Linked DNA regions of Notamacropus eugenii. The protein of the gene in region 2 interacts with the protein of the main gene of each other region in a pairwise test. Links are inferred from orthologs where the notes say so. Each region holds a gene or a part of one and is shown on either strand. Other genes may lie near its edges.

What was found.
Region 1: the proteins of CREB3 (region 2) and APOD interact in binary tests that used the Homo sapiens proteins (3 or more experiments, as listed by UniProt). The two-hybrid records come from large-scale screens. The link is inferred for Notamacropus eugenii from reciprocal best matches to the Homo sapiens genes CREB3 and APOD.
Region 3: the proteins of CREB3 (region 2) and MFSD5 interact in a two-hybrid assay, tested with the Homo sapiens proteins (2 studies listed by BioGRID and IntAct). The two-hybrid records come from large-scale screens. The link is inferred for Notamacropus eugenii from reciprocal best matches to the Homo sapiens genes CREB3 and SLC61A1.
Region 4: the proteins of CREB3 (region 2) and TSPAN2 interact in a two-hybrid assay, tested with the Homo sapiens proteins (2 studies listed by BioGRID and IntAct). The two-hybrid records come from large-scale screens. The link is inferred for Notamacropus eugenii from reciprocal best matches to the Homo sapiens genes CREB3 and TSPAN2.

Annotation. Positions count from the first base shown.
Region 1 is NC_092877.1:386,924,912-386,932,105, forward strand, and holds the start of APOD (apolipoprotein D), read right to left. Parts: upstream 3,011-7,194; 5' UTR 2,870-3,010; coding exon 2,782-2,869; intron 2,345-2,781; exon of another isoform or gene 2,180-2,344; intron 1-2,179. UniProt on the Homo sapiens protein: APOD occurs in the macromolecular complex with lecithin-cholesterol acyltransferase. It is probably involved in the transport and binding of bilin. Appears to be able to transport a variety of ligands in a number of different contexts.
Region 2 is NC_092872.1:79,291,985-79,299,339, forward strand, and holds the start of CREB3 (cyclic AMP-responsive element-binding protein 3), read left to right. Parts: upstream 1-4,343; 5' UTR 4,344-4,453; coding exon 4,454-4,504; intron 4,505-4,608; coding exon 4,609-4,746; intron 4,747-4,888; coding exon 4,889-5,057; intron 5,058-5,196; coding exon 5,197-5,267; intron 5,268-5,441; coding exon 5,442-5,534; intron 5,535-7,355. UniProt on the Homo sapiens protein: Endoplasmic reticulum (ER)-bound sequence-specific transcription factor that directly binds DNA and activates transcription. Plays a role in the unfolded protein response (UPR), promoting cell survival versus ER stress-induced apoptotic cell death.
Region 3 is NC_092874.1:226,175,006-226,182,737, forward strand, and holds MFSD5 (molybdate-anion transporter), read left to right. Parts: upstream 1-4,834; 5' UTR 4,835-4,931; intron 4,932-5,100; exon of another isoform or gene 5,101-5,283; intron 5,284-5,599; 5' UTR 5,600-5,617; coding exon 5,618-6,970; 3' UTR 6,971-7,217; downstream 7,218-7,732. UniProt on the Homo sapiens protein: Mediates high-affinity intracellular uptake of the rare oligo-element molybdenum.
Region 4 is NC_092873.1:294,400,227-294,408,045, forward strand, and holds the start of TSPAN2 (tetraspanin-2), read right to left. Parts: upstream 3,015-7,819; 5' UTR 2,946-3,014; coding exon 2,775-2,945; intron 1-2,774. UniProt on the Homo sapiens protein: May play a role in signalling in oligodendrocytes in the early stages of their terminal differentiation into myelin-forming glia and may also function in stabilizing the mature sheath.

The DNA.
Region 1 (7,194 bases), on a different chromosome or scaffold from region 2:
AGATATTGCTGTGGAATCATTGGTCCAACCAGAGGCTGTGTGGCCAAGTGGAGAGACCTGGACTTCCTAGCTGGGAGGTCATTTGGAGCCTCAGGGTTTCTACCAGGAAAATGGCCATAATCAGATCTGTGGAGAGCTTTACAAAAAGGCCAGGTCTCCTGAAGGGTCACGGACCTTGGTCAGCACCTTCACAGCTCCCCACTCCCTTGTCTCCTCTTTTCCAGGCCAAGCAAGCCCAGGTGCTTCGACTGAGGCCCCCATCCCGGGCACCCTCCTCTGGATGCTCTCTAACTCATCGACATTCCCCCAAACTGGTGAGGCCCAGAGCAGAACCCAGTGCCCCAAGAGGGCCTGAGCAGGGCTGCATTCCTGCCTTCCCCAGACACAGGCCGTTTGTTCTGGCCAGAGCAGGATAAAGCTCTGGGACAGGGGTGGAGGGGAGTCCCTGCAAGCGCTGACCTCTCTGCCTCCTTTACACAGTCAATCAACATTTATTAAGTGCCAGGCAGGGTATACAGAAAGAGACAAAAGACAGTGCCAGGCCTGAGGGAGCTCATGGGGACCAACAAGCCAACAGTCTCTACACAGCCAGCTCTTTGGGTGTGCACCCTATGCAGAGGGCGGCCCCATTACCTGAAGATGCTGCCCTTCCTGGCCTCCCAGCTTCCTCAATGTAAATGGATCCCTCTAATGGGCTCTCCCCCTGCCACAAGCTGAGTATTTCCAGAACAAGGTAAGGCCATGCTTGCAGGGTCTCAGAGCCTGGTGGGGAGAGGGTTAGGTGTGTCTAAGCAGGGCCAGAGGGAGTGGGGCCCAGGACTGCAAGGCCCAGGGAGAAGATTCCTCTGCCAGCTCTTTCCCTACTCCCCATGAACTGTCCATGTCTCCCCCATCCTCCAAAAAGCCCTCCTTCGGTCCTTTTGTCCCTGCCAGCCACCTGCCTATTCTCTGCTCTGTTTGGTGGCTAAAACCTCTGAAGTCAGCCCCACTCGCTGCCCTCCTTTTCTCTCTGCTTAGCTGTCTAAGCCCCGCTCCAGACCTCCTCATTCCTCCTAGAGGGATCATGAGCTCTCAGTGGCCTTTTCTCAGTCCCCTTCCTTCTTGACCTCTCTAGGAGCCTTGGATGCTAGTGATCACTCCCCTCCTCCCTCTCTTGTTCTCCTCCTGCCAGCCTGACCCTTCCTTCTCCTCTGTCTCCTTGGCTGGCTCTTCATCCAGGTCACGCCTCTCTCTGTTTCTTCACTTGGTGATCTCATCAGTGCTCATGGATTTAATTATCATCTCTGTGTTTGTTGTCCAGTCCTTTCTGACTCTTCGGGACCCCATTTGGAGTTTTCTGGGCAAAGATACTGGAGTGGTTTGCCATTTCCTTCTCCAGCTCATTGTACAAGTGAGGGAGGAAACAGGGTACCAGGGTCATAGAGCTAGTAAGTGTCTGAGGCTGAATTTGAACTCAAGACCTTCTGACTCCAAGTGCTCTGTGCACTATGGCGCCTCCTAGCTGCCAAAAGATCACGGATCACTTTGGAGAGAATAACTTCTGTGAAGTGCTGAGGTCAGAGGTCAGGTTTTAGACAAGAAGACAGCGAGACGAAAGGAAACCCCAAATGACTCCTCAATCTACTTCTCTTCCTGCATCTCCAGACTCACATCTCCAGCTTCCTTTCAGGCATCTTGGCTCAGATGCCCTGTAGATGCCCCACATGCCCCAAACGTCCCTGCTCCTGCCCTCCTGTCCTGGGATCCCCACATGCGAGCTATTGCCAGGATTCCCCTTCAGTGCACCCCCTCCTCTCCTCTGCCCCTACCCGGTCCTGGTGTAGACCCTCCTCCCTTCACATCCACTGCTGGAGGGGGGTCTGCCTGCCCCATAGCCCTCCCTCCAGCCCCTTCTCCATTCAGCCACCTTTGGTGGATTTTCCTAAAGCCCAGTTCTGACCGTGTTCCTCCTCTCCTCCATAAACTCCAGGGGCTTCCTGTTATCTTCAGGATCACATGGAAAATTCTTTCCTCATAAGCTCACTTCCCCCTTTGCAGTTTCCTGGCACCGCATGCTATGGGCATCACTATCGGACCAGAGACCCTGCCCTCAGGGTTCTTCCACAAACCAGAAGTGCCATCTGGGTTCCTGGCATTTTCTGTGGCTGGTTCCCATGCCCCGAATGCTCTCCCTCCTCACCTCTGGTGCCCTGCTTTCCTTCAGCTCCCAACTAAAATCCTCTTCTACAGGAAGCCTCCCTTCCCCATCTCTTCATTCCAGCACCTTTCCTCTGGGGATTCTCTCCCTCCATCCTCTTTGCAGCTGTGTGTTTCCTCCTCCTTTCAGAGTGTGAGCTCTGAAGTCTCTGAGGGCAGGGACTCTCTTTTGTGCACCCCAGCCCACAGTTTGGGCTAGCTAAATACTTATCTACTGACTGGCTGCCGTGCTCTGGGTCACACAGGCAACAGATGTCAACGGTGGAATGTGAAACCTGGACCTCTGACTCCTGAGCTGGGACCCTTTGGGTTGCAGACTTTGCTCTGTATCATAGGCATTAAAGATCCCTGTGTCCTCACACAGAACCACAGCTTTTCTCCCCAAGCTCTGATTCTCGTCCTCATCCTAACAGTGGTCTGGATGACCCGAACAGTCCAGCCAGGACCCAGGGATCCCTGTGCCTAACTAGAATTATGGCTGTGACAGTCTCTTGGGAAGGGAGAGGGAGGCTAAAGCCTCCTGCAGGAACAGTGCCTCAGTTTCTCCTGCTTCCCTGCTTGTCGATCCCATTCACAAAGGCGTACCTTTTCTGTGATCCTCAGGCTGGTCCTGGAGGGCGCTGGCTAAGTGCTCAGGCTGAAGAAGTTGGTCCCAGAGCCGGCTCTGCTCCATGCTTTTATAAGCTCTGTCAGATCCCCTCCTTCCCCTGGGTGCTCTAGCTCCCTCCTCTCAGATCTGTGTGTGCCCCAGAACAGGGCCTTTCTTCTGGCTCCCCCTTTCATTCTCACAGCTGTTTCCTGGAGGGAAAACAAAGGACTGCTCTGTGGACCGCTTGCTCTCCAGGGCTGCCAACACAAAGTCTTCCCATCTGGTGACAGGCCCTCCCATTTCATTCTCCCAATATGAGGCCTGGGGCTGGCTCCAAATCTCCGGACGGTGATGAAAGATGATTTCATTGTTTTTGGACACCTGGGATTTGTTTTCCACTTCTGCTGAATTCCTAAGAACAGCAATGAAACCCTCGTTGGATGAACAAAGAGCCGGCATCATGGGACGGTGACGAGGTGGTGTTGTATAGACATATGCGTGCTGTGTAGATATATCTTCAAGTCTACACAAGGGACTTCCCATGTGACCCTGGGAAAAGGCAAACCCCTTCCTCCCTCTCTCTCTCCCTCTCTCTCCCTCTCTCCCTCCTCTCTCTCTCTCTCCCTCCTCTCTCTCTCTCTCTCTCCCTCTCTCTCTCTCTCTCTCTCTTTCCATTTCTCTGTCTTTCTCCATGTAAATATACACAAATACTACCTATACATTAGCTGTTACCATCTTCATCGTCATTATCATCACCTGGTTTCAAGCCTTGGCTTTGACACCTGACTTGCTGACTTCCTTCCCTTCTCTGGGTCTCACTTTCTTTATCTGAAAACAGACACAGTAATCTTGGGGGTACTTCATCACTGTGACATCCTCCGGGTGAGGGGGATTGGTTGAAGGATCTGAGGAGGCTTGACCGGGCAGGAAAAGACCTGGGGACTTCACCTGGTGCCAGCAGGTACACAGTAGATGCTTCATAAATGGTTCTTGGTTGATCAACATGATGACAGCTGTTTCCCAGCATCTCGAGGGCAAACTGGCCAAAGATGAGTACACTCCCCTGCTGAGCCCCCTGGGGAGAGCCAGGCATGACTGGCCACACATCTGTGTCACCAGTTGTACTGACCAACTTAAGGCCTTTCCAGCAACTTCCTTATGAGCCATCCCTACCTGCTTTGGGTGCCCCTGCCAGTACAGTTCTGATTAATGGGTATGGTCAACTGATGAAGCTCCTTCTCAGAGTCCCCTTTTTCAATGCATCCTGTGTTCCCCTCCTTTCCTCCTCCTTGGGAGGACCCTTCTCAATTATTTTGTTTGTTTGTTTTTTGGGGTTTTTTAATATATAATCTATTTATTTTCAGTTCTTAACATTCACTTCCACAGGAATTTGAATTCAAAATTTTCTCCCCATCTCTCCTCACCCCCCCCCTTCCTCCAGTCTGTCCTCCCTTCTATTACCCACCCTTCTTCAATCCCCCTTCCCCTCTATCTTCCTGTAGGGCAAAATAGATTTCTATACTCCATTGCCTGTATAGCTTCATTTCCAGTTATATGCTAAAGCAAATTTTAACATTCATTCTTAAAGCCTTGAGTTCCATATTCTCTCCCTCCCTCCCCACCCACCCTTATTAAGAAAACAAGCAGTTCAATATAGGTCATACATGTGTAACAACGCAAAGCACTCCCGTAATAGTTAGGATGTGAAAGACTAGCCACATTTCCCTCTGTTCTGTCCTGGCCTCCATTCATTCCATTCTCTCCCTTGACCCGTCCTCCCACAATAGTGTTTGCTTCTGATTATCCCTTTTCCCAATTTGCTGTCCCTTCTATTATCTTCCCTCTTCTATCCCCTTCCTCCTTGCCTTCCTGCAGAGTATAATAGATTTCCATATCCAATTGAGTGTGTTATTCCTCCTTAAAGCAAATCCCCTGAGAATAAGGCTCAATTATTTCCTTTCATCTCCCCCCCTTCCCTCTTTTATGTGAGATGATTTGCTACATTCTACCTCTCCCTTCCTCTTACTCCTAGTACATTCCATTCAACAGTAAATTTTATTTTGTTTAGACATACTCCCTCAATTCAGCTCACCCTATGTCCTCTGTCTATATATACATATATATACATACACCCATGTACATATACATATCTACACATATATAATACACACACATACACATACACACAAACACACACATATATATACATATATGTGTATATATATACATATATATATGTATATATATATTCCCTCTAACTACCCTAACACTGAAAAAGGTCTCATGAGTTACAAATAGCATATTTCCATGTAGAAATGTAAACAGTTAGACTTTAAAGAGGTCCTTAAGGCTTCTCTTTCCTGTTTAACTTTTCATGTTTCTCTTGATTCTTGTATTTGAAAGTCAAATTTCCTATTCAGGTCTGGTGTTTTCAACAGGCAGGCTTGGAAGTCCTCTATTTCATTGAAATTCCATTTTTTCCCCTGAAGTATTATACTTAGTTTTGCTGGTAGGCTATTCTTGGTTTTAATCCTGTCTCCTTTGACCTCTGGAATATCATATCCAAGCCCTTTGATCCATTAGTGTAGAAGCTGCTAAATCCTGTGCTATCCTGATTTCCACAATATTTGAATTTCTAAAATACTTGAATTGTTTCTTTCTGGCTGCTTGTAATATTTTCTCCTAGACCTGGAAACCCTGGAATTTGGCCACAATGTTCCTAGGAGTTTTCCTTTGGGGATCTTGTTCAGAAGGTGATTGGTGAATTCTTTCTATTTCTATTTTATTCTCTGATTCTAGAAGATCAGGGCAGTTTTCCTTGATGACTTCTTAGAAGATGATGTCTAGGCTCTTTGTTTCAACATGGATTTCAGGTAGACCAATAATTTTAGATTATCTCTCCTGGATCTATTTTCCAGGTCAGCTGTTTTTCCAATGAGATATTTCATATTGTCTTCTATTTTTTCATTCTTTTGGTTTTGTTTTGTGATTTCTTGCTTTCTCATAAAGTCATTAGTCTCCATCTGTTCCATTCTAATTTTTAAAGAACTATTTTCTTCAGTGAGCTTTTGAACCTCCTTTTCCATTTGGCTAATTCTGCTTTTTAAAGCATTCTTCTCCTCATTGGCTTTTTGGACCTCTTTTGCCAGTTGGGTTAGTCTATTTTTTTAAATTTAATTTAATTATTATTATTTTTTAATGTTTTACAATCACTGCCATACAATTGAGATTTTATCCCCCCCACGCTTACCTCCCACTACCCCCCTCCCTCCCCATGACAGCATACAATTCTGTATAGGTTCTACATATACTTTCCTATTGAGTACATTTTCACTATAGTCATGCTATGTAGTCAAACTAAAATAAATGGAAGAAATCATATAACAAATCAAAACGTGATACACAAAAACACACACACACACAAACATGATCTGCTACATTCTGCAAATGACTGCCATATTTCTTTCTCTGAGTGTGGAAGGCATTTTGCCTTAGAAAACCACCACTGGGATTTTTTTTTAATAAGTTCTTGCGTTATTATGAAATTCCAAGTCTACCAGAACAAACTCTCGCACACTGTGGTTGCTGCTGTGCACAAAGTTCTCCTGGTTCTGCTCCTTTCACTCAGCATCAGATCATATAAGTCCTTCCAGGCCTCTCTGAAGTCTTCTTGTTCATCATTTCTTATGGCACAATAGAACTCCATTACATTCATATACCATAATTTATTCAGCCATCCCCCAACTGATGGGCATCCCCTTGACTTCCAGTTTTTGGTAACTACAAAGAGAGATGCTATAAATATTTTTGTACATGTGGGACCCTTTCCCATTTTTGTGATCTCTTGGGGATACAGTCCTAGAAGCGGTATTGCTGGGTCAAAGGGTGTGCACATTTTTGTAGCCCTCTGGGCATAGTTCCAAACTGCTCTCCAGAATGGTTGGATGAGCGGGTTAGTCTATTTTTAAAGGTGTCATTTTCTTCAGCATTTTTTTTTGGGGGGGGTCTCCTTTAGCAAGCTGTTGATTCATTTTTCCATGATTTCCTTGCTTTGCTCTCATTTCTCTTCCCAGTTTTTCCTCCACCTCTCCTACTTGATTTTCAGATTCCTTCTTGAGCTCTTCCATGGCCTGAGACCATTGCTTACTTTTTTGGAAGTTTTGGATGCAGAAGCCTTGACTTTGATGTCTTCCTCTGATGGCCTGCTTTGTTCTTTCTCATCCAAAAGGATGGAAGAAAATACCTTTTCACCAAGCAAGTAGCCTTCTATAGTCTTATTTTCCCTCCTTTTTTAGGCATTTTCCCAGTTAGTTACTTGACTTTTGAGTTCTTTGTCAAGTGGAAGGTATACTCTAGGGATCTGTAAGTTCTCAGTTCCTCCAAGGTGGCACAATCAGGGGAGAGGAGTT
Region 2 (7,355 bases):
GATCTATGAGCCGACCAGGGAACTGGAAGAAGCTCATAACTGGGGAATTGCCAAATTGAAAGAGTAGGGGAGCTCAGAGCATATCCAGGATTGAGGGACTCAGCAGATGGTAAGGGACCCAGGGGGAAGTTAAGTTGGTGGGAATTTTTGCTTAAAAAAAAAATAAACAAAAAAAATAGATACACAGACATGGGGGTGGGGTGGAGTGGTGGTGGTCAAGGAGGATGTGAAAAGCAGGAAGTCATAATCTCCCACCCTCTTGCCTAGTCAGGCCCAAGGGAGGGGGATGGGAATTAAGTGACTAAGGAATGAGGGAAAAATGGGGTTGAACTTTCTGGGCACAAAGCCATTCTCAAACATACCTCATTTTTTATTACCTCAGGGCTGACCAACCTACTCCCCACCCCACAGACAAATTGGTAATACTTTTCCAAATAAGAAGGCAATGAGTCCTTGCCCTTTCCGTGCCACCAAATACTTCCCATTCTATCCCTCACACCACTTGGGAAGCACTGAAACCACTGACTTTGGGTATGGAATGGCCTTTTGCTAGAATCTGAAACCCTGTTACCATGGACACTAAGTCAGAAACTAGAAGTAAGAGTCTGGAGCAACAGTTCCCCACTCAAAGGGGATCTTGATGCTCTGATAACTACAAATGAAATGAGGACAAATGGTCTAAATTAGGGGAATTAAACTCAATTCGTGATTGAGGCACTGCTGTAGGCCACGATCTTTCAAACTGACCATGATCCTAAGCCTGAGTTCAGAATTTAATCCCTGAACTTCAATACTGATTCTGATCTGATCATTGACTCACTCTTACCCTGACCCTTAATCCTAAACCTTTGGACTTATTTCTAGCCTAGTCCAAATAGCTAACTCTCTTTCTGATTCCTAACCATTTAAATCTAATGCTAACCTATGACTAACCAAAACATTCAACCCAATTCCTGAACCCTAATGCTGACTCTGAAAAAAATCACTGACCTTTAACTCTCATCTCCTTAACATTAACGACTTCAAACACTGACCCTAAGTGGAAAATCATTATTTAGTAGATATTCCCAATGGCCTACCAATGATGCCTGAACCAATCACTGACTACTGACGTCTATCCTTAACCCTTACTCACATCCTTTCATCCTAACAATGATCCCAATTTTTGGATCCCTGATCAAATCTAAACTCTATTTGGCATTTAGAGTTTTTACCTTTTCAGTCTTTTCTCTGTGAACTCTACCACGCAGCTAGCCTGGTCTCCTAGCTGTTCTCCAGTTTCCTTGCCTTTTCACTGGTTGTTCCCCAAGCCTGGAATGCTCTATCTGCTTACCTCCAACTCTTAAGTTTTCTCTATTTTCTTCAAAATTCAGCTCAAATTCCATTTTGTGGTGTAGGCCTTTCCAGATTCCCCTAGCTGCTAGTAATCTCCCCTCTCAGAGGTCTTCCTACTCACTCTATATATCTTCTTTAGGTACTTATTTCATGAAGCTTCCTCCTCAGAATGTAAGCTCCTTGAGGGCAGGAACTAGATTTTCTTTTTTGCATTTCTTTGTATTTTTCATTGCACAAAGTCTGGCACACAGCAAGCACTTATCAAGTGCTAGTTGACTCATGGTTGGCTAACCGCCCTCCACAAACACCAATGCCATTCCTAATCCCTGAAGCCTAATTTGATTCTTGGAAGATAAATTCATCCGTAATGCAGACCCGAAACTCAAGTGCTACCCCTGACTTTTAATTTGATTCCTGACTAACCCTTTCCAATTCTAAACCTATGATCCTACAATCCCCAACACTGACCCACAAACTAATCCTGACTATCCAAACCTGTGAATCCTGATGCTATCCCTAATATTAGCCGTAACTTGCCCTCTGTATTCTAACAGTGATCTAAAAAACAAAAATCCTGAGTGTAGAGCTTGCCTATTTGTCATGAGCCTAAATCTTAACCAGGTTGCCCTGATTTCCTTCAAGCCTCAGCTCAAATCCCACCTGCTTGCCCTCTCACTGCACAATGCCTCGCTCTGAGATTATCCTCCATCACTCCGCACTATTTTGCCCGCACACAGACGTCTGCACGCTGTCTCCCCTATCATACTTCGAGCTCCTTTCGGGCGGGGACGCTGTTTTCGCCTTTTTCTGTGCCTCCAGGGCTTGTCACAGCACCCGGCAAGAAGAAGCGCTTCCATACTTGTCGCCCCACAATCTCAATAACCAGTAAGGGCCAGCACATCTCTCCTGTTATCCTCAGGACACCTCCAACGTCCATCGGATACTCGGCTCCAAATTCCAACCCCATTTAACTCGAACTTCCCCCAAACCTGGGGCGCACCTGAGCCTGCATCTCCGAACCTACCCGGCCAACGCCAAACCCAGGCACGCCATCCCGGCTCCGGACCCCGCAGCCCGGACCAGCGAACACCCTCCCACCCGGCCTTGGAGCCCTCCCGATCTGCCCCACCCCACCCCGCTAAGCCCAGCCGGGTCCCCCGTCCTGGCCCGCCTCACCTCCCCCGTCCCCACGATCCGCTCCCCCCTATTCCCGAACCCCAGCTTTACAGCCCAGGCCCGTCAGCCTCGCCCCGCTACCCCATAACTGTCGCCCCCCAGCATCCCGGGTACCACAACTCCGCCCGCCAAGCAGCTGGACAAGCAGGATGGACACACCCGGACCCTGACCTCTCGGGCCAAGGAGGGAGCCGGCGGCGGCGCCCACCCTGACCGCCCTGGCTGCGGACCGAGGCTGCGGCCTCCGCTCGACCCCTGCCTTCCCCCCTCCCCCTCCCCCCCCCCACCCTCCGCCGCGGCCGGGCCCCCTCCCCCGGATCCAGTCCCCTCCCCCCGCCCGGCCCTGCCCCTTCCCGCCGCCGTCCCGTCCTTCCTGGTCCCGCCCCGCGCTCGGCACCGCCTCGGCCCTACCTGGGCCGTGCGGGGACCTCTCGCTCGTTGGCCCGCCCTCCAGGTCACTCACTCGTTCGCTCTCCAGGTTCCCGGGTCCGGGGTCCGGCCTCGCCCTCCCGCCGACTGACGAACTCTCCGCCACTTCCGTCCCCGGAGCGCGTCCCCCCCACCCGTGGGCGGCGCCCTGGGCCCGCCCCTCTACGGCCCTGGCTGCTGCAGGAAGCTGCTCTGGCCCCCGCTCTCTATGCCTGGGAGCCGGCCCGGAGACCCGGGCAACTTCCCCTGCAGCGAGGGCGGCGCATGCGCGGCGCGGGCCGCGGCTCCGTTACCGCGCGCAGCCTAGCGGACCCGAGGCGCACTCCGCCCCGTCTCGCTGTGCTGCGGGCTGCTCTGGCGGGGGGGCGGGGCCTCCCTGGCGGGGGGGCGGGGCCCGGGAGGCGCGCCCCGCGGGAAGCCCGCCTCTCGCCCCCTCCTCAGCCCCAGACCCGCGGAGAGCCCGGCGGACGAAAGCGGACCCACCTGTTTCCCCGAGACTTCCCGGCCTGACCGAGCCCCTCCGTCTGCAGGGCATGTGTCATGTGTGAGTCTCCCCAGCAGACCCGGGAGCTCCCCCTTCCGCCCTCCGCCCCAGGGAAGGGCCCCGCCTGCCCTCTGATGCTCGTGGGGGTCGCTCACGCCCTTCGCGTGGGCTCGGGAAAGTTGGGGACACGCGCGGACAGGGAGGCCAGCGGGAAGCCCCTGTGTGTGTGTGACAGAGGCAGGGAGGGGCGCTCTCAGCGGTCTGCGAAGGGCGTGCGTGGGTGGTCACGGGGACAGCGAACACGTCGTCACTCACACCTTTGTAAACCACCTCGAAAGTACCTGACCGCCGATTCACGTCGCGACCGCACTTTCTGTTGGTGCAGAGGTGAGGGGCCACGGGTGCGGAACGTGGTGTTTGCTCCCCGCCTGTGTTCAATGGAGGGGGCTGGTGGCTGTCAGGAAACGAAAGGCATCAATAAAACCTAAACGAACAAAGAAAACTCATTGCGTGTGCACAGAGCGGGACCGATCGACCTCAGGAACGGAAAGCCTGGCGAGGGGTACGAGGCTCGGGGATACATGACAGCAGTCGGAGTGCGGGCTACATCCGGGCGGGCGTGGGGGAACTACATCTCCCAGCATGCCGCGGCCTTCTGGCTGACGTCATTTTTGTGGTGTTGGAAGGCTGGAGCTGGGTCGGGTTTGGGAGAGGCTGTCCGGGCTGGGGAGAGACGGCCCGAGGGGAAGTAGAACCCCAAATTTGGCCAGTTCGCGTAGAGGTGGAAGGGAGCAGACGAGGGGTGGGGTTGGAAACCTGGCCGAGGAGGCGGAGAAGTGGCCATTCCAGCCCTCCAGGGTAGGTGGGAGGGCGTGCCGGTGCTCTCTGCTTTGGGGGGCGGGGTGTGTGTGTGTGGGGGGGGGGGGCTGGGGCCGGGGCAGGGCCGGGCCGACCCTGGCCCTCTGCTTCCAACGTCCCCCCTCTGGGGCTCTATGATGGGGGGCCGGAGAGAACAGACAGAGCTCCTCCATGGCAGGGACGGCTTTTGCTTTTCTTTGTATTCTCTGTGCTCGGCATATTGTAAGGGCTTAATATGAATGTTGACTGACCGCCTTTCACCTTCTACCCTTTGGAGGGGAAAAGAGGATCAGGATGCGGATGGTGATTCCTTCTCCTTCTTCTAGATGTCCACCATGGAGCCTGTCCTGGACCCAGGTGACAACGACCTGCTGGATTTCCTGAAGGAGGAAGGGGGAGATCTATGGGAAATCCTTGGGGAGAGGGAAGAGGACCAGCAGGATGATGGGATGCTGCCTCCTGAGGTGAGTAGGGGCTGGGCCAGGCTTAGCCTTGGTTGGGGTAATGGTGGTGCTATAAATGAAGAGGAGAGATTCCAAGGAGAGTTGGGACAGGAAGCTGGGAGGAGAGGAGCAAGGCCTGCTTCTGAACTAAGTGGCTGTATAGGTGCTGAATGAGTGGGAAGCAGAAGAATTCCTGATGTCTCTGCTGGGACCCCCCACCTCACCATCCCTCCCAAGTCCTCCTAGCTACAGCTTCATTCACACTGATCACACTTACTCTCTGAGCTGGAATGTACAAGGTTCCTCCCAAGATGATGTCTACATTGACCTGGGTAAGCTGGGAAAGGGGAATCATGTATGCGGGTAGGTAGTGACTGGGAAGGCAGAAAGAGGATTCTGAGGGAGGGACATGGAAAGGGGGATGAAACTAGGAGCCCAGGGCTCTTGGTTCTAATTATTTTCCTCCTGCAGATGATGATGGTCTCAGAGATGTGGCTCAAGAATCAAGGGTCTCCTTGCAGATGGAAGAAATGACACTGCAGGTATCTGGAGGAGGGGCAAACATTAATAGTAAGGGGGAGATGATCACCTCTGATAATATCAGGATGCTTTGATCAACCCCACACTTCTCTCTCCTCAAGCTCCAGATGTCTTCTTCCCACTTTATTTACTCCTTGGTCCCTCCCTGTCACATGTCATTTTCCTGTTTTCTCCAGCACGAGTTTCCTCAGTTGATACTGACAGATGAAGAGAAGAGGCTGCTACAGAAAGAAGGGTTGACCCTTCCTGAGACTCTCCCCCTTACTAAGGTGAGACTCCTTCATGGTCACGGGTATCATGCCTGGTACCATTTGAGGATGGCCATAAAAGGTCTGCTTTTCAAATTTATGGGCAACAAACCTGGGATAGCTAATGTTCCAGATGTCCGAATCACATTTCAAAATACCTCAACAGAAACAACGTGCCCAAGCTAATATGATTAAACTTAGAAATGGCAACTCCAAGTAAGTTCAAGAGGACAATTGCACAAATATAGGAAAGGGGGAGATGTTTCTTAACAATTGCTGTGAAAAAGACTTGATGATTTTAGCTGATTGCTTCAATATGAAACAGCACGGTGAAGTGGTTTCTAAAAAAAAAACTAAGACATTCTGGGAAGCATTAATAAAAGTATAGTATCCTCCAAAAGGAAGCACAGCGCCTGGAGCATAGTGAACACTTTATAAATGCTTGTTGATGAATAGGGTGGCTATAGCATTTGCTGTTAAACTGAATCTAAAAGTGATGATCAGTACGTATGAATGAAAGAATGATTAAATAAGTGCTGGAGGTACAAATGGAAGATGGCCCCTGCTTTCGAGAAATTCACCTTTTGAATAGAGGAGACAACACATACGGAAGCTTTCAGCTGCTAGTCAGATGGAAAAATCCCATGGTTAGGCTGAGTCATTATGGGTTTATTAAGAATATGATGACCAGACTAGACTCATTTCCTTTGATGGGTAGATCAGAATAATGATTTGGACACGATATCTAGATTTCAGCATGGCATTTGATAGCCTTTTAGATAAGGTGGGGAGATAGAACCAGATACAATAGTACAGATAGGTAAATTTGGAATGAACTCAGCTTGGAGGGAAAACTCCAGTGGAGTGCTCGGATGCTGTCTCCTTGGCCTTTTTGTTCAATATCGTGAAGGCACAGATGACCTCTTGACAAAATTTTCAGTGATGGAGGGATAGCTAATATTATTAGCAGGGGGCTAGTCTTTAGATCAATAACCTAAATAGTTTCAGCAGGCCTAGTTTAAGATGATGAAATTTAATAGAAATAAATGTAGTCTTACACTTGGGCTCAAAGAAATCAACCTCGTGAATTTAGGATGGGAGATATATAAAATAGTTGTTTGTCCTTCGTTCTCAAAGAGGACCATGACATCAAGATGATGACATGACTTGCACTTGACTTTGATTTGAGTGAGGGAGGGCTGGGCAAGGTCACCAGCCTCACTTTCTTCTCCTGAGTCATCTGGGTCCAGTGACCAGATATTCATCAGGATGACTGGAGATGGCTCAGAATGCAGTGTGAGACCTTGACCTTTTTAAGCCAAGGTCTTATCACATTCTCACTCTGAGTGAGATACACCCATTCAATGAATAGGCCTCTGACATAAAATAGTAGTTTACGTGAAAAGGACTTGGGTATTTTAGCAAGCTCAATGTAAGTCAAAAGTGTGACAAATCAGAAAAAAAAAAGCCAGTGATCCAAAGTTGCATTATTAGTCCTCATGTCCTTTTGCCCTGACCAGGGCACATTTAGAAGACATCATCTTCAGATCTAAGAACCATAGTTTAGGAAGGCCATTGGGAAGCTGGTGTGTGTATAGATGAATAACAGCTTGTCTTTACACATTTGGACAGTCATTAGCTGGAGGGATTCTTTTTTGTTCTTGGTCCCAGGCAATAGAATTAAACCAACAGATGACATTTACCAGATTCTGATTTAAGTTAAGAACTTTCTAATGGTATATTGTCCAAATGTAGTACAAGCTGCTTTGAGAGTTAGTATGTCCTGTCATGTCTTCAAAGATTGGATGTCCCATTTATTCGGAGTGTGGCAGAGAAAATCTG
Region 3 (7,732 bases), on a different chromosome or scaffold from region 2:
ATGGACTTCTCTCTGGGCTTGCGCTTGGGGCCTCAGGGCAAGAAGGCTCTCCCCAGACAGTCCCCCAATTCTTCTGCTCACTGTCCCCCTTCTTCCTGTCCCTGCCCCTTCTGTCCTCCTCCTGCCTGCCCTTGTTCTCCCTACCCTTTCTTTGTCTGCCCTTCCTGTCCTTCTGCCTGCCTTTGTCCTGCCTGCCCCTATCTCCCCTGCCCATCCTGTGCCTATCCACCCTTAGCCTGCTCTCACACCCCCTGCCCTGCTTGTTCACCCTGCACATGCCCTGATTTCTGCAGTCTTTGCCCTGCCTGTCCCCATCCTCCCTGCCCTAGCCACCCCTCTACCTGTTCCCATCCCACCCCTGGCCCCACCTGTCCCTCCTTTAGGGGCCAGGGAACCCGTCCTTGCTCCCGTTGTTGCTATGGCAACAACTACAGCTGTTATGCTCAGGGTCCCAGCCCCCCTGCCAGCTGCTGCAGCTGTTGTTGCAAGGGTCTCCAGCTCTCTGGGGGTTGTTGTTCAATGGCTTAGGTTGGCTTTTGTTCCTTTGTGGAGTTTGTCCTCCTCCCAAAATTCTTCCCACTGCTATTGCTGCCTCTCCCTCTCTAAGTCTCCCTTCCTGGAATCCCCTCAACCTGGGGTGGTCTAGGCAGCCACTCCCACCTGGAGGGACAGAGAGGCTTGGCTGTTCCATTGGGCCAACTGGGAACTACTTGGTAGCCCAAGGACCATTCTCATCGTCATGAGAACTTCATCATCTGCAACTTCTAGGGGCCAAAAACATTTTTCCCCCCTAGGTTAATGAACTTTCTCAGCTGTACTAGTCTTGGGGTGAGAATCTTCTTAGTATCTCTCACTGGAACAAGAGACTTCTATACAGGTAAGAGAAACTTTATTCATTTGAGAGAGTTGGAGGATATTTTGTTTATACTTCACACCACTCACTCCGACCAAAATCCCTGAGAGCCCTCAAGGGACTAGAACCCTGGTGCTCTGTTGTCCAGACTGGCCCATCTCCTGGGATTGGAAAAAGAGACTTAAGTTGTGATTTTTAACCCCCTTCCCTCAGATCTCTCTCCCTTCCTAAGGCTCACCTTTGTGTGATGTTCTCTCTCTGCCTACCACTATCTTTATGTCTTTCTGACTGTCTCTCTTCGTAGATGTTTCTGTATTTAGGTATCTCCCTAGTCCCATGACCTCAATCCCTTACTCCCCTCCCTCCCACTCCAGGTAATCTCATAAGTGATGTTCTTGCCCATCTGGTCTAAGTGGGGAGTGGAAATCCGGGAGAGGAGAACATCACGTGGTTCTTTCCAACACTTCTTTCCACTTTGTTTTTCCCAAATACACTTGCTTCCAGTCACTCTCTTTCTAACCTACCTTTGGCCCTAGGGGAAGGCAAACAGCATCCCATAAAGACGTTAGAGTTCAGATCTAATGGTCTAATACTTCTGAGGGGCAGAAGGCAAGAGTCTTCTTTCCTCACTCTACGTTTCTCTTCCAAACTGTCTCTGGGCCATTGTGTATTTGTCTCCGGGCCATTGTGTATTTGTCTCCCCCCAAGTCCTTGGCACTGTGACTTTTCACCTGTCTCACAGTCCTTCCCTCAGTATATCTTCCCTCTGTCTTTCTGCCTCTCATGCTGACTCCGGGACATTTTATCCTTTTCCATCTCTCTGCCTCTCTCCCTGTGTCAGGCTAAACTCTACTCTGTTTCTTCTGTCTCAATTTCCTCTCCTGTTTCTATATTTTGGTTTTCCCCTTTCCACCATCTTAATCACCCATCTCCTCTGTCTTTCCCCTCTTTATTTCACTGTCCCTATCTTCACCTCCATTTTTGCTTTCTTCTGAAACTTGCCTTTGTATTTCTGCTACCCCCTCCCACCCCTCCACCCATTTTTCGGGTCAGTTTTGGTTTTTTCCATTACTCTTTTTATTTTCCCTTCTGCCTTTGTCTTTTTTTTTATCTCTATCATCCCCTCCATCTTTTTCTCTCTTATCTCTCTCTTCTGCCTGTCTTTACCCTTTTTTCTTTCTCCTTGGGTCCTGCATCTCACTTGGACAACATAAGTGTTTCCTGTTCTGCCAGGACCCGAACGTCTCCTCTATTTGTGCCATGCTCATTCCTGAAATATTCCATTTGAAGATTTCCATTTCCCCACTAAGGAAAGGGAAGAAGAATTGTCAAAACAGTTCCCAGAATTCCTCCCCAAACTGAGGAGCCAGGACACCCTGCCTCAGATACATAACAAAGAGGTCCTGGTGAGGGGAATTTGGAGGTGTGGGGCTCTCAGCCTTTATCCCCTCCAAATCCTTTTGGTTAGACTGGTTAATTTGTAAAACCCTGGGGTTTCTTCCCAAGTATGGTTTAGTCAAAGCTCTTAAGAGCCAGCAAAATCCCAAGGAATGGTTTTGTTCAGAATGGGCCAATAATAAAAATAAATACAGATGATAATTTGTTATTGTTCAGTCGTGTCTGACCGAACCCCATTTGGGGATTTTTTGGCAAAGATACTGGAATGGTTTGTCATTTCCTTCTTCAGCTCATTTTACAGGTGAGGAAACTGAGGCAAAGAGGATTAAGTGACTTGCCCAGGGTCACACAGCTAATAAGGGTCTGAGGTTAAATTTGAACTCAGGTCTTCCTGATTCCAGGCCCAGTGCTCTACCCATTGTACCACCTAGCAGCTTAGATAATTATTACACAGGTAATTTTACCTATGTATTTTCCCCCATTTAACAGGTGATTTGAATTTTACACTATTCAAAATAAGGAATAAAACATTCCCCTTCTTTGGAGGAAGAGTCATAGACCATGTTGTACTTCTCCTTATATTTCTATGTAGCATGATCCCATTATGTACAAGAGAAAAGCTCAAAAGGAAGAAAAATCTCATTCAGTCATGGGGAGGTAATGCAAAGCTAAGTGGCAGAACATTCAGGTAGGGTGACCTTGGGGACATCACTGCATTCGTCTGGGCCTGTTGTTCCAGCTGAAAAATAAGGAGAATGATCACTTCCTATCTCTCAGATGATGAAAGGACCAGTAAGATGCTACAGATGAAGAAGTTTGGATTGAAATTCTTGTTTTTACTGTTATAGTAGAGAAAACTTATAATAGACATTTAAGATAACATTTTTAAGGTTTGCAAAGGGTTTTAAGGCATTATTTCAGTTGGCATAGAAGGTATTACAATATTGTTCCTATTTTACAGATGAAAAAACTGAGGCTCAGATTGATTATGTGACTTACCCATAGTCATGCTAAGGAGGATGTGTCTTGATTCCAAGGCTAGTGTTTTTTCCACACTTGCCCTCTACCACCAGCCTCTCCATCTGCAGCCTCAGCCCTAAATGGAGGTCTGTTCAAAAGGAATCGCACATGACTAGATTATAGTAGGATGTTAGATGAGTCCCTTTCGACAAGCATCTTAACTACCTGGCCCATTCCTGCATTCTCCAGCTGTGGTAGAATGTTGTAGTACATATGAGGGAGGGGGTGGGGGTGGGCATGTGGATTTAGTTGGCTTCCCTCAATTCAAATTCCAAGATAATCTTGGGTAACTCACTTAGAATCATAAGGTTATATATTATTTTATATTATAATGGGTAGAGGGGGTGGGAAGGGGAAGCAGAAATACAGAAAATAATACAATACATAATCATAGTCTTAGAGACAATCTAGTCCAATTCCATCATCTTAGAAAGAAATAAACAGAAGCCTAGGAAATTTAAGTGACTTGCCTAAGATCACACAGATAGGGTGAAATGAGATTTGAACTCAAGTCCTCAGACTCCAAATTCAATGTTCTTTCAACTGGACTTTAATTTCTTCATGTGCAAAATCAGGCAAAGGTCTTATTAGCTGATCTTCCACGTCCCAGCTCCACGAAGCACCAAGACTTATAGAAACAGCTTCCAGAAATTCGAAGGTAGGCCCAGCCTGGTCAAAAGCAGCTGTGCAGTATCATGATTTTCAAAGCTCATCTAAGCCAAAGCCCTCCTTTTACACACAAGGAAACTGAGGCCAACATAGTGGAAGTGCCATCCTTCACCCTAAAGCCAGACTAGCCAAAGCTAGGTGTGAGAGTAGAGAGAATGGCTGGAGTGAGGAGGACCCGTGTTCAAATCCAGCTGCAGACACTAAGGCTTGCGGTAAAGATGAAATGTGCAAAGTGCCTTGCAAACCTTAAAGCACAGTATAAAGGCTAGCTGTTGGACAGGGCTGGATAGCCAGCGCAGGTGCCCGCTGAATCTACCCCGCCCCCCCCCGCCCCCCGGTGGTGAGGACTAGATGATGGGGAAGTTTGTACGGTGCCTTTGCAAGCTAGCCATATATGAGACAGTATTATTACTGCACATGATCCTAACAACAATCCTACACACACACACACACACACACACACACACACACACACACACACACACACACACACACACACACACACACACACACACACACACACACACACTCTCCTATTACTCCCATTTTACAGAGCCGGACACGAGGCTGAGAGCGAGGAAGGGACTTGCCCAGGACCCTACGGGTACATTTCTGCCTCCAAGCCCCGCAGCAGCCCCGTCTCGGGAGCGGAGGCAAAGCGCCTTAAAAGTTATCAGCAAGAGGGTTACGGGAGGCGGGGGGGGGGGCGGAGAGTTGGAAGAGGGTGGAGGGGCAAGTGGGAGGAAGAGGAGGAAAAGGAGGAGGAAGGAGAGAGAGGAAGGAGGGGAGCAGAAAGGGTAGGAGAAGGAAGTGGGAGAAGGGGAAGGAGGAGGAGGAGGAGAAAGAAGGGGGAAAGGGAGGGAAGGGGGAGGGGGAGGAGGCAAAGGCCGGGCTTTCTCGGACCCAGGTCCCCTGCCTGGAGGATGCAGCGTTCCGGCCACCCCGCCTCGGGGCCCGCGCGGAGCAGAGGGAGCTGCCCAGCCCCGCAGAGGTGAGCCGGGGCCGCTCCTCGCCTTCCCAGTCCAGGCGTCCGGGTGCGTGCCAGGGGTGGGGACCAGGAGCGCCGAAGGCAGGAAGGAAGGAGGAGGGAGGAGGGAGGAGGAGGGTGAAGGGAGGGGGAGGAGGAGAGGAGAGGAGGCCCCGCCCCTCTCTTCTCCCTCGCCCTCCCCCGCCTGAGCTGGGACCTCGTCACGTGACGGGGCTGTCATGGCGGGGCCCACGGCGGCCTCAGGCCAGCCGGGCTCCCGGAAGCGAAGCGAGGGGCGGAGGCTTCAGCTGGAGCCGGAGTGGGGCGGGCGGGAGCCGGACGCGACCGGGAGCGTCCCCGCAGACCGGGGCAGCAGGTGAGAGCGGGGGAGAGAGCAGAACAGGGCCAGGGGAACGCGGCGAAGGGCGAGCCCGGGCTAGGGAGCCGCGCGCGTGGGGGGCTCGTGGGGACAGGGCGGGGATCCCGGGAGGAGGAGAGCCGGGGATGGGGTTTGAGCGTGGGGAGCCGCGGAAGCTGGGCTGCCCCGAGCAGGGATCCCGAGTGTCCCTGGACCCGGGACACCGGCCTGCCTGGTCCCTCCGGCCGGGGCTCTGGGGGACCGCGGGGAGCGTCGTCGGGTGAGGGCATGGAGCTGCGCCCTGCCCGCCCTTACCTTTCGCCCTCTTCCCCAGGTCAGCCCGGGCCCCGCCATGCTGGTGACGGCCTACCTCGCCCTGGCCCTAGTGCTGGCCGCCTGCCTGGGGCTGGAGCTGTCCGGATGCAGGGCCAAGGCCCCGGGCAGGGCTTGCTGCAACCCTTCCTTCCTCCGATTCCAGCTAGACTTCTACCAGGTCTATTTCCTGGCGCTGGCGGCGGACTGGCTCCAAGCTCCTTACCTCTATAAACTCTACCAACATTACCACTTCTTGGAGGGCCAGATCGCCATCCTCTATGTCTGCGGCTTGGCCTCCACCGTCCTCTTTGGCCTAGTGGCCTCCTCCCTCGTGGACTGGCTGGGCAGAAAGAAGTCTTGTGTCCTCTTCTCCCTCACCTACTCCCTTTGCTGCATGACCAAGCTCTCCCAGGACTACTTCATACTGCTTGTGGGCCGGGCTTTAGGTGGACTGTCCACAGCCCTGCTCTTTTCAGCTTTTGAGTCATGGTACATTCATGAACATGTTGCACGGCATGATTTCCCTCCTGAGTGGATCCCTGCCACCTTTGCCCGGGCTGCTTTTTGGAACCATGCACTGGCTGTAGCAGCTGGCGTGGCAGCGGAGGTTGTGGCTAGCTGGCTAGGTCTTGGACCCGTGGCTCCCTTTGTCGCTGCCATTCCCCTCCTCGCTCTGGCTGGCATCTTGGCCCTCTGCAACTGGGGCGAGAACTATGACCGACAGCGAGCATTCTTGAAGACCTGTGGAGGGGGTCTTCGCTGCCTCCTGTCCGACCGACGGGTGCTGCTGCTAGGTACCATTCAAGCCCTGTTTGAAAGTGTTGTGTTCATCTTCATCTTCCTCTGGACACCCGTCCTGGATCCTCATGGAGCACCGCTAGGCATCGTCTTCTCCAGTTTTATGTCAGCCAGCCTGCTAGGCTCTTCCTTATATCGAATAGCGACCTCCAAGAGGTACCACCTCCAACCCATGCACTTGTTATCCCTTGCTGTCCTCATTGTTGTCTTCTCCCTCTTCATGTTGACTTTCTCCACCAGTCCAGGCCAAGAGAGCCCAGTGGAGTCATTTGTTGCCTTCCTGCTCATAGAGCTGGCCTGTGGTTTGTACTTTCCCAGTATGAGCTTCCTACGAAGAAAAGTAATCCCTGAGATGGAACAGGCAGGAGTGCTTAACTGGTTCCGGGTCCCCTTGCATCTGCTGGCCTGCTTAGGGCTCCTGGTCCTCCATGACAGTGATCGAAAAACAGGTACCCGGAACATGTTCAGCATCTGCTCAGCTGTCATGGTCATGGCCCTGCTTGCTGTGGTGGGACTCTTCACTGTTGTGAGGCATGATGCTGAGTTGAGGGTGCCACCACCTGCTGGGGAGCCCTGTGCCCCTGAGCTCTGACCTAGACCTGGGGACAGACTGAACTGTTGAATCCCACCCCCAGGGGGTGTATATGTCTCCCTTTTGCCCCTGAATTGTCATCTCTTTGGCCACATGGGTTGTGCTTGCCCTGCCAAATGCTGTGGGCAGGGAGGAATGGAGGGGTGAAATAGATTTGAAAATCAAGGTGCTGGAAAGGGCCCCTGTGTTATTTCTCATCAAGACAAAAGAACCTGTTTTAAAATAAACTCTTTGAGTTGAATGCCAATTTGATTTTTCTTCCCCTCCTTTCTAGTTGGTCCAACCTTAATAGTAATTGGTAAGTAGAGATTTTCTTGTAGGAGGCAAGACTATATAATACATCATCCAGAGATGGGGGGTGGGGGAGCAGGTGGAGTAGAATCTCTTGAGGTTCTAAAGAGGAGAAACACTGCTTAATGATCTGAAAGGAACAAATCAGTGAGGTCAGGAATCCCCTTGGCCGCTTCACCTCTCCATCTGCTTGAAGTTAATCTCCCTAGCTGTCAAGTCAAGTCCATGCCCTATTGCTCAGGTTAGAGGATCAAGGTAGGCTAGATAAATTCCCAGGATGCCAGGCCACTAACTAGGCAATCTTTCTCAGAGACCAAGAGCTTTATTGTGTTATCAATAATTTGGCAATTCAATCAGTAAGCATTGGTTAAATACTATGTGCTATGGCCTAGCAGCATGGCACTGTGTCATGTATGAGAGATGTAAAGACAAAAGTGAAACAAAAGGCTTATGTTCTTGGGTATGTTTATA
Region 4 (7,819 bases), on a different chromosome or scaffold from region 2:
TAAAGGCCAAAGAGAGTCGTGAATGGATGGCAATCTGTACTTTTGGAGAGAGTTTCCACATCAAGAATACAGACCCATTAAAATACTGTAGAACAAGGCAGACCAAGTCAGGCTTATTAGCTAAGGGACAGAGTACAGATTTTTCCCAAGATGCAGCTAATTCAAGTCATTAACCAGCCTTCCTGTCAAAAGCCGTGCTATATTTATTCTCCCTTTTGTGATTTCGCTCATCATGTTCTCTCCTCTTTCCCCCCTCCCACCTGGCAATGTCCTTTGCAGTCGTTTATCCAGTTCCTACTGAACCCTCAAAGGGCCTGGTGCAGGGCATGAAATGTTGGACTTGGAGTCAGGAAGACCTGAGTTCAAATCCAATTTCAGATACTTACTAGCTGTGTGACCCTGGGCAAGTAACTTCACCCCTGTTTACCTTGGTTTCCTCATCTGTAAAATGGGGATGATAGTAGGACCTACCTACCTGCCTTCCTGTTCTGAGGATAAAATATTTATGAAGCATTTTGTGAACCTTAAAATAGTCCACAAATGCTACTATTATTATTATTTTGTTACTGTTAACAATAATAATTCTTCCATGAAACCTTTTCCTGACTACTTTAAAAGCACATTGAAAGGGAAGTCAGGAAACCTCACCCAGTAACTGTTCGGATCTTTGAAAAGTCATTTCTTTCTCCCTTCTGGGCTTGATTTTCTGTACATCAAGTTAGGAGACTGGCCTAGATTCAACAATTCAAAAGACATTTATCAGACCCAAACTACGTATAAGACAGCATGGCACAGTGGACTCCCTACCATGTACTCCTCTATCCTAGCGGCACTGGCCTCTTCTCTGTGCTATGAAAAAGACACTCCATCTCTTGGCTCCAGGCATTTTCACTGGCTGTCCCCCATTCCTGGAATGTTCTCCCTCCCCATTTCCACCTAGTGAATTCCCTGGCTTCTTTTAAGTCTCCACTAAAATCCAGTCATCTACAGAAACCCTTTCCCAACTCCTCTTAATTCTAGTGCCTTCTCTCTGTTCATTATTTCCTATTTATCTTATACGGGCAGCTAGATGGGGCAGTGGATAGAGCACTAGGCTTGGAATCAGGAAGGTTTATGTTCATGAGTTCAAATTCAGCCTCATATATTTACAAACTCTGTGACCCTGGGCAAGTCACTCAACTCTTAATCTCAGTTCCTCAGCTATAAAATGAGTAGGAGAAGGAAATGGTAAACCATTCCAGCATCTCTGCCAAAAAAATCCCAAATGGAGTCACACAGAATTGGACGTGTTATCTCGTATATAGTTGGTTTGTAAATTTTAGCTTGTTTTTTCTCCCATCAGATTGTTGGCTCCTTGAGGGCAGGGACTCTCTTTTGTCTTTTTTTTCTATCCCTAGTGCTTAGCCACAGTGTCTAGCACATAGGAGGAGATTAATAAATGTTGACTTATTGCCTCTGGCACATTCTAGCTATGAGACCATGGGTACTATTTAACCATACCCAACAACTCTTGAAGACAAGTCAAGAGAGGAGTTTTTGATCTGCATTTGAGGAGGAATTTCTATACCTGGGAGTTCCCTACATTTATGAAATTACAAATTTGACCCTCTCCCCAAATGTGCAAAGCACTGTTGGGGATTCAAAGATGAAAAACAACAGTTCAAATCCTCAAGGAGCTTATTATTCAATAGTTGGGGATAAGACATGTATGCAGACAAGCAATAAATATAGTGAGAGTAGGATCAGGTCAGAGTCAAAATCCAGACCAAAGTGTGGACACTTGAGGGAGGATCATAGGACCCAGATCTATAGTTGGAAAGCACCTTAGTCCAACCTCTAAGTAGGCTGGAGGAGATAGGCCAAGATAGGTTAAGTGCCTCCACCAGACAGAAAGGAGAGAGGTCAGGATTTGAATTCAGTGCCTGAGACTCCTTTTCTACCCCAATACATTGCCTCTACACTACGTTTAGATCCAGCATGCTATGAATCTATATTCCAACAGTGCAAGATCTCTTTTTGTCTAATCCTTAGCATGCAAGCCCATACCACACAATTTTCTATTCATTTATAAACTGTATGGTGTTATTAATTTTATTGTTTTTCTCACATAACCTTTTTTTTTTTTAACAAAACATTCACAAAATCCTTAAAGGCAGGAAGTGTTTTATTCTTTACTTACCTGCCTTTGAGGTATTCTGGTGGGGTAACTATAGTGACAGACCTAGAAGTCAGGAAACCTTAGGTTCAAGTCAGGACTCAGACACATAAACTGTGTGACAGTGGACAAATCACTTAAGTTTTCAGTGCTCCCCGATTACTGTCTAAGTCTAACATAAAGAGAAGTTGCCCAACTTTATTTCTACATCAGAGCACAAATGTTCCCTACAGTGACTGAATTTGGTCAGGAACAAAAAAAACAAACCCCTCTGCGAGATCAAAAACCAATTCTAGCCATATAATTGGTACTCTGTAAATATAAATTAATAAACTTTTTTTTTGTAGCAGATTTACCTTCCTAATTATACTCTTTCCAGGCAGATTTTAAAATTAATTTGTTTTTATGAAGAGAAGGAGAAAGATGGTCCAGAAAAGGTTTGCAATTGAGATTAAAAATATATAGCAGACAATCTAGAGTGGATAATTTGCATCTGGATAATTAAGGATTGACAACACATTTCACATGAAAATTTTAAAAATCTGGAATTTTGTGTCCTGATAAGCATTTATTCATAAGATAAACTCATTGAAAATACCTCAACTGGCAGAAATCATACCTTTGACATATTAGGACATATCAGCCCAGTTACATGCTTCTCTTCCAAACCTGCTGCTGCTGCTGGAGACTCTTGCTGAAGGCAGCCTGAGCCAAGGGAGAATGCGGTCTTCTGGGAATGACTTTGCTTTGGCAGATGCAAGTGCAGACTGCCCCACTCCCAGGGGTCCATTTAGTAATCAGTGACAATTGGGAGAGGAAGGTCTTTCTAAAACTGAACAGCTTCCTTAAACCAGAAAAAATGCTTTCCCTCCATACCTTCCTTGAAGACAGGGCAGCTTCAATGACTCAGGTCACTGCTGTCCCATTCCTATCTCAGAAGAATAACTTAAATGATTTAGTACTTTAGTGCTTATAAGACACTTTCTTCCCAACAGTCTTGTTAGGTCGGTCCTACAGATATTATTATCTCCATTTTTTATATACGAGGAAACTGATGCTTAAAATGTCACCATCACAAGTAGTTTGGAAATGTCAGAACCAAAATTCAAACCCGCATCTCCTAACTCTGGACTCACGGTTCTTTTTTTCTATATCACTACTGTCTCTCAGAAAAAACAAACAAAATGAAAAACAGCCCTCACCCCCAATAGATAGCCTGTTGTCCTTTGGAGCAGTCCCTCTACACAATGGAAATTTACGTCTTGTGGTAAACCCTAAAAAGAGTTGCTAAGAAAGAGAGAGAAAACATTTAGACCCTATTTTGATTCCTCCAAGATGTAGGCAATGGGGGAATGAGAGATCTAAGAAGGGTCTTGTCTTAATCATGCCTGCGAGAGTTTGAAATACCCAAGGCATCATGACCCTCTGTCGGAGACCCAGTGCCTCCACCTATGAAGTGGGAACCATATTTGGTTCTTGCTCCTCCTATTGTCAATATAATAAACTCCTTCAGAGTTGGATGAGATCATCTCTGAGAATCAAAAGGTGCTGGGTACATTGGAGGATTTCGAGAGACCTAGTTGGCTGCTGGGACAAGACTGTTTACCTTGGGAAAACCCCCTTACACAAGCCTCTGGTCCCCAGCCAGCACTTCCTCCTCCCTTCTCTGAACCTGGCTCTACGGTGAACCAATGTTCCCCTGCACTGCACTCCCCCTCCCCAAAACAAAAGATTTCCCTCCAGATTTGGTTCTGGTTTTTTATGTTGTCTCTCAAAGGGGCATTCTGCACCTGCCTGGACCCTCCTGGCCCCTTGATCAGACCCAGGCTCCGGAGAGGAGGAAAAGCTGGCAAGAAGAAACTGACAAGCAGGTTAGAGGATGGGAGGGGTGGAGGGTCTGATGAAGGGAGAAAATCCACACCAGGTGAGGAGAAGCAGGTGGTGCCCCATTCAGCCAGAACTGCCTGGAGGACTGAGGAGGAATGGGGGAGCGTTTAGATAGAGGCAGGAAGGGATCCCTGCCCCAGAATGAAGCCTATTTAAAATTTCTCTCATTCCATTCCCCAACGTTTCTGTCTAGCCCGTTTGCCTCTTCTTTACGCCTCTCCATCACTCTCCCTCTGGTTCTCTCCTTCTCTTTGTGTCTCTGACTCTTATATCCCCTTTAGGTTCGCGCACATACACATACATACATGCACACATATACAGGCATGCACACACACTTGCACACACACACGCCCCTTCCTCCCCCATTCCCTCCCCCCCACTGTCACTCTCGATCCCACGCCCCCCCGGACCCGGACTCAGAACTGCAGTCCCTCCTTCCCTCCCTTCCTCCCTGGGGAGCCCCCCTCATTCGTCCTGCTCCCCTCAGCCTTGGAGCGCCCACTCCGCTCCCCTCTTGGGGCTCACCCAGAAGAGCAGGTTGAAGGCTAGCAGCATGTACTTGATGCAGCGCAGGCCCCCGAGGACGCGCCCCATCCTGCGGCCCCGGCAGCAGCGGGATCCCGAGTCCCCAGGCCGGGCTCCGAGCTCCGAGCTCAGCTGGAGCCCCGCGGGGAGGGGGCGGGGCCACGGGGAGGGCGGGGCGCCGGGGAGGCGAGGGGTGGGGAAGGGGGCGCTGTGCTTGTAGAGGGAGGGAAAGGAGAGCTTGGACAGGGAACAGGAGAGGGGTTTGGAGAGAGAGGAGGGGGACAGGAGGGCGTAGGAGAGTGATGGAGAGAAGGAGGGGCGTGGATCCGGGGAGAGGAGAGCTCCGGGAAGGGTTTGGGGGCTAGAATTAGCGAGGGTTACGCTCCCTCCGTGTTTGTGGTGACAGACTAGATATTTCCATAACCCGCGCTCTATGTATGAAGTGCTTCCTTGGACACCCCATCAGTGATAAAGGGAGCTTTTGGCAAGAAAAAGCCTCCGAGGGGATCTTTTTGATCAAGAGCTGTTAGCCTCATTAATCTGTAGGAGAAATTGACTGCATCCGCAGGGCTTGACTATACCAGAGGAAGGTAGTTTCGGTTAGCAAAGGACAGTCAGTTCAAGCATTTATTAGGTATCTGCTCCAGGCCAGGTACGGGGGGGATTCGGTCAAAAATGAAAGCTCCTGCCTTCAAAGAACTTACATTCTTTTGGGAGTAAGTACCATGTACATACACAGCATACACAAAATAAAAGACCTGTGATTTCATTGGTATATGGCAATCCTAGGAGAAGAAATTTCGACTTCCAAGGCAAATCAGTCCTTTATCCGCAGCTTAGTCTTACAAAAAGTTAGGAAGAATAGTGAGAGGTTCGGATCCTTGCCCAGGGGTCAGAAAGTAAGTATTGTGTCAAAGGTGGGACTTGAACCATCAACAGGGCTTTGAGATCAAACTGGCTACATAAGACAGTCACATAAAGAAAGTATAATGTAGTTTTGGCAATGATGTCCCAGGAACTGGTGGGGATTGGGTAATGTGCTTGAGACTAGGGTTAAAAGGAAAAACCATCTCTGATTTCAGGGAACTTATATTCTACTGGGTGAATATATCTAAACGGATACATGCATACATATGTACATACATAAATACGTACATCATATAGAGCTCGAAGGTTTGCCAATCACTTTACAAATATGATCTCATTTTATCTTCACAACCACTGAGAGGTAGGTGTATTATTGTCCCCACTTTATAGATGAGGAAATCAAGGCAGAGGTGAAATTACTTTTCTGGGGTCATACAGCTAGAAAGTTTCTGAGGCTGGATTTGAGCTCATGCCTTCCTGACTGTAGTTCTACTACTTTTCCACTTCAACACCCAGTTGTCTCCTATCTGTGATAATTTGAGGAAGATGAGAGGGTACAGGAACAACGAAGGAGGATAGTGCAAGGTTTTCTGTAGGAGAGAGCATGAGCTGAGTCTTGAACGGAGCTAGAGATCCTGGAAGATGGAGGTGAGGAGGGAGTACATTTTAGGTACAGGAGACAATTTATGAAAAGTTGATATGGAGTACCTAGTTCAGGGAGCAGCCCTAGTCTTATTGCTCTAAAGAAACCTCTCTAAAGCAGGCAGGGAATGGCTCCAGGATGCCAAGACACTCAGTAGTTTCTGTGGGGCATAAAGTGCTGGGAGTTCACTTTTGCTTCCCCTCCTCCTCCAAGAAGAGTAAGACTCATGTCTCATCCCACAAAGAACAATTTCTCTAGGGAGAATGTACTGGGAGGAGCAGGATTCCCCCCCTCCCACCCATCCCCCCATTTTCCAAAGAAAAATCCTTACCTTAATAGGCATGAAGTCCAGAGACAGCAGGAAGACAGCTGCCAGGAGGATCCCAGCTGCGGTCACCACATTAGCTGAGCTTGCCAGCTAAGTTTGTAGAGTGGGAGGGCTGACACCAGGTCTGGACTCCTATTAAAAGTCTGCTAACGGGTGGTTTTGAAAAAAAAGAATTCAAATCATCAAGGGCCTTATAGAGATCTGAACAAAGAAGACTGAAGCTTCTGGGAAAGGGTATTCTGCTAACTAGTAGTGAGAAGACTAAACTCCAAAGGCCCTTAGACACCATCCAATCCACTCTCTTCATTTTTAAGATTAAAAAAGTGAGAATCAGAAAGGTTAAGTATTTTTTCCAAAGTCACACAAATAAGTAGATATGAATCAGGATCTGAACCCAGAGCAGGGGTGGGGAACTTTTGACCTCGGGGTACATGTAGTGACCCTCTAGGTTCTCAAGTGCAGCTCTTTGACCGAATCCTTTTGAAGGGCAGCATTTGAGGACCTAGAGGACCACATGTGGCTTCGAGGCTGAAGGTTGCCCACCCCGGACTAGATTCTCTGATTCCAATCCATCCACCAGTGTTTGCTGAATACCTGTGATGTCAAAAAGTGTGTTGATTACTGTGCAGAAAACCAGAGACAAGTAGAATCACAGAGTTGGAAAGGACCTCAGAGGAAATCTAATCCAAATAGTAACTGAAGAATTAATCCCTTCTGCAACACACAGGACAAGGTGGGAAGCCTTTATTGTCTAATGTTACTCTAATTCTTAGGAAATGTTTCCAGACACCAAGCTTAATTTCTATCCCTCAAAGGGGTTACAGAGTACACTATAGTGTATCATTTGTGGGTAGGGAGTAGGGGTGTGATGGTAGTAATACAGGACATAAAAACAGAAAAAACTATGTAACAATTCAAGGTAGTATCAAGTAGAATCATCAATCATCTCATACATTTCCTTACAGTTGCTTTTGCCCTGCCTCCCACCTAAGGCTAAGGCTTCCCCACCAGGACATGAGATGTCTTTTGGATTTCCATTGGAAAGGGGTGTGACTGGGAGGAAGAATATGCAGTAGAGCAGAGATGTCAAACATAGGTGGCCCCAAATATTAGCCGCAACACTCCGGAATGGGGCAAAACTAAATTAAAATGCAACTGGGAAATATTTAACAAGATAAAAAAACCATAATAACATTATATTCTAAAGCGAAGTCAATATGTGGCCTGCAGGGATCCACATAAACAGGTTAGTGGCCCCCATTCCCATTTGAATTTCACACCACTTTATTAGAATATCAGTTAAATAGGCAATTCCTAAGGAACTTTCTCTGGGAAGCCTAAATAAAATCATTTTTCTTAAAGTCATCAGTCTCTGAATCTTATGGAGTAAGAGTAATACGGATTTCTTTGTTAT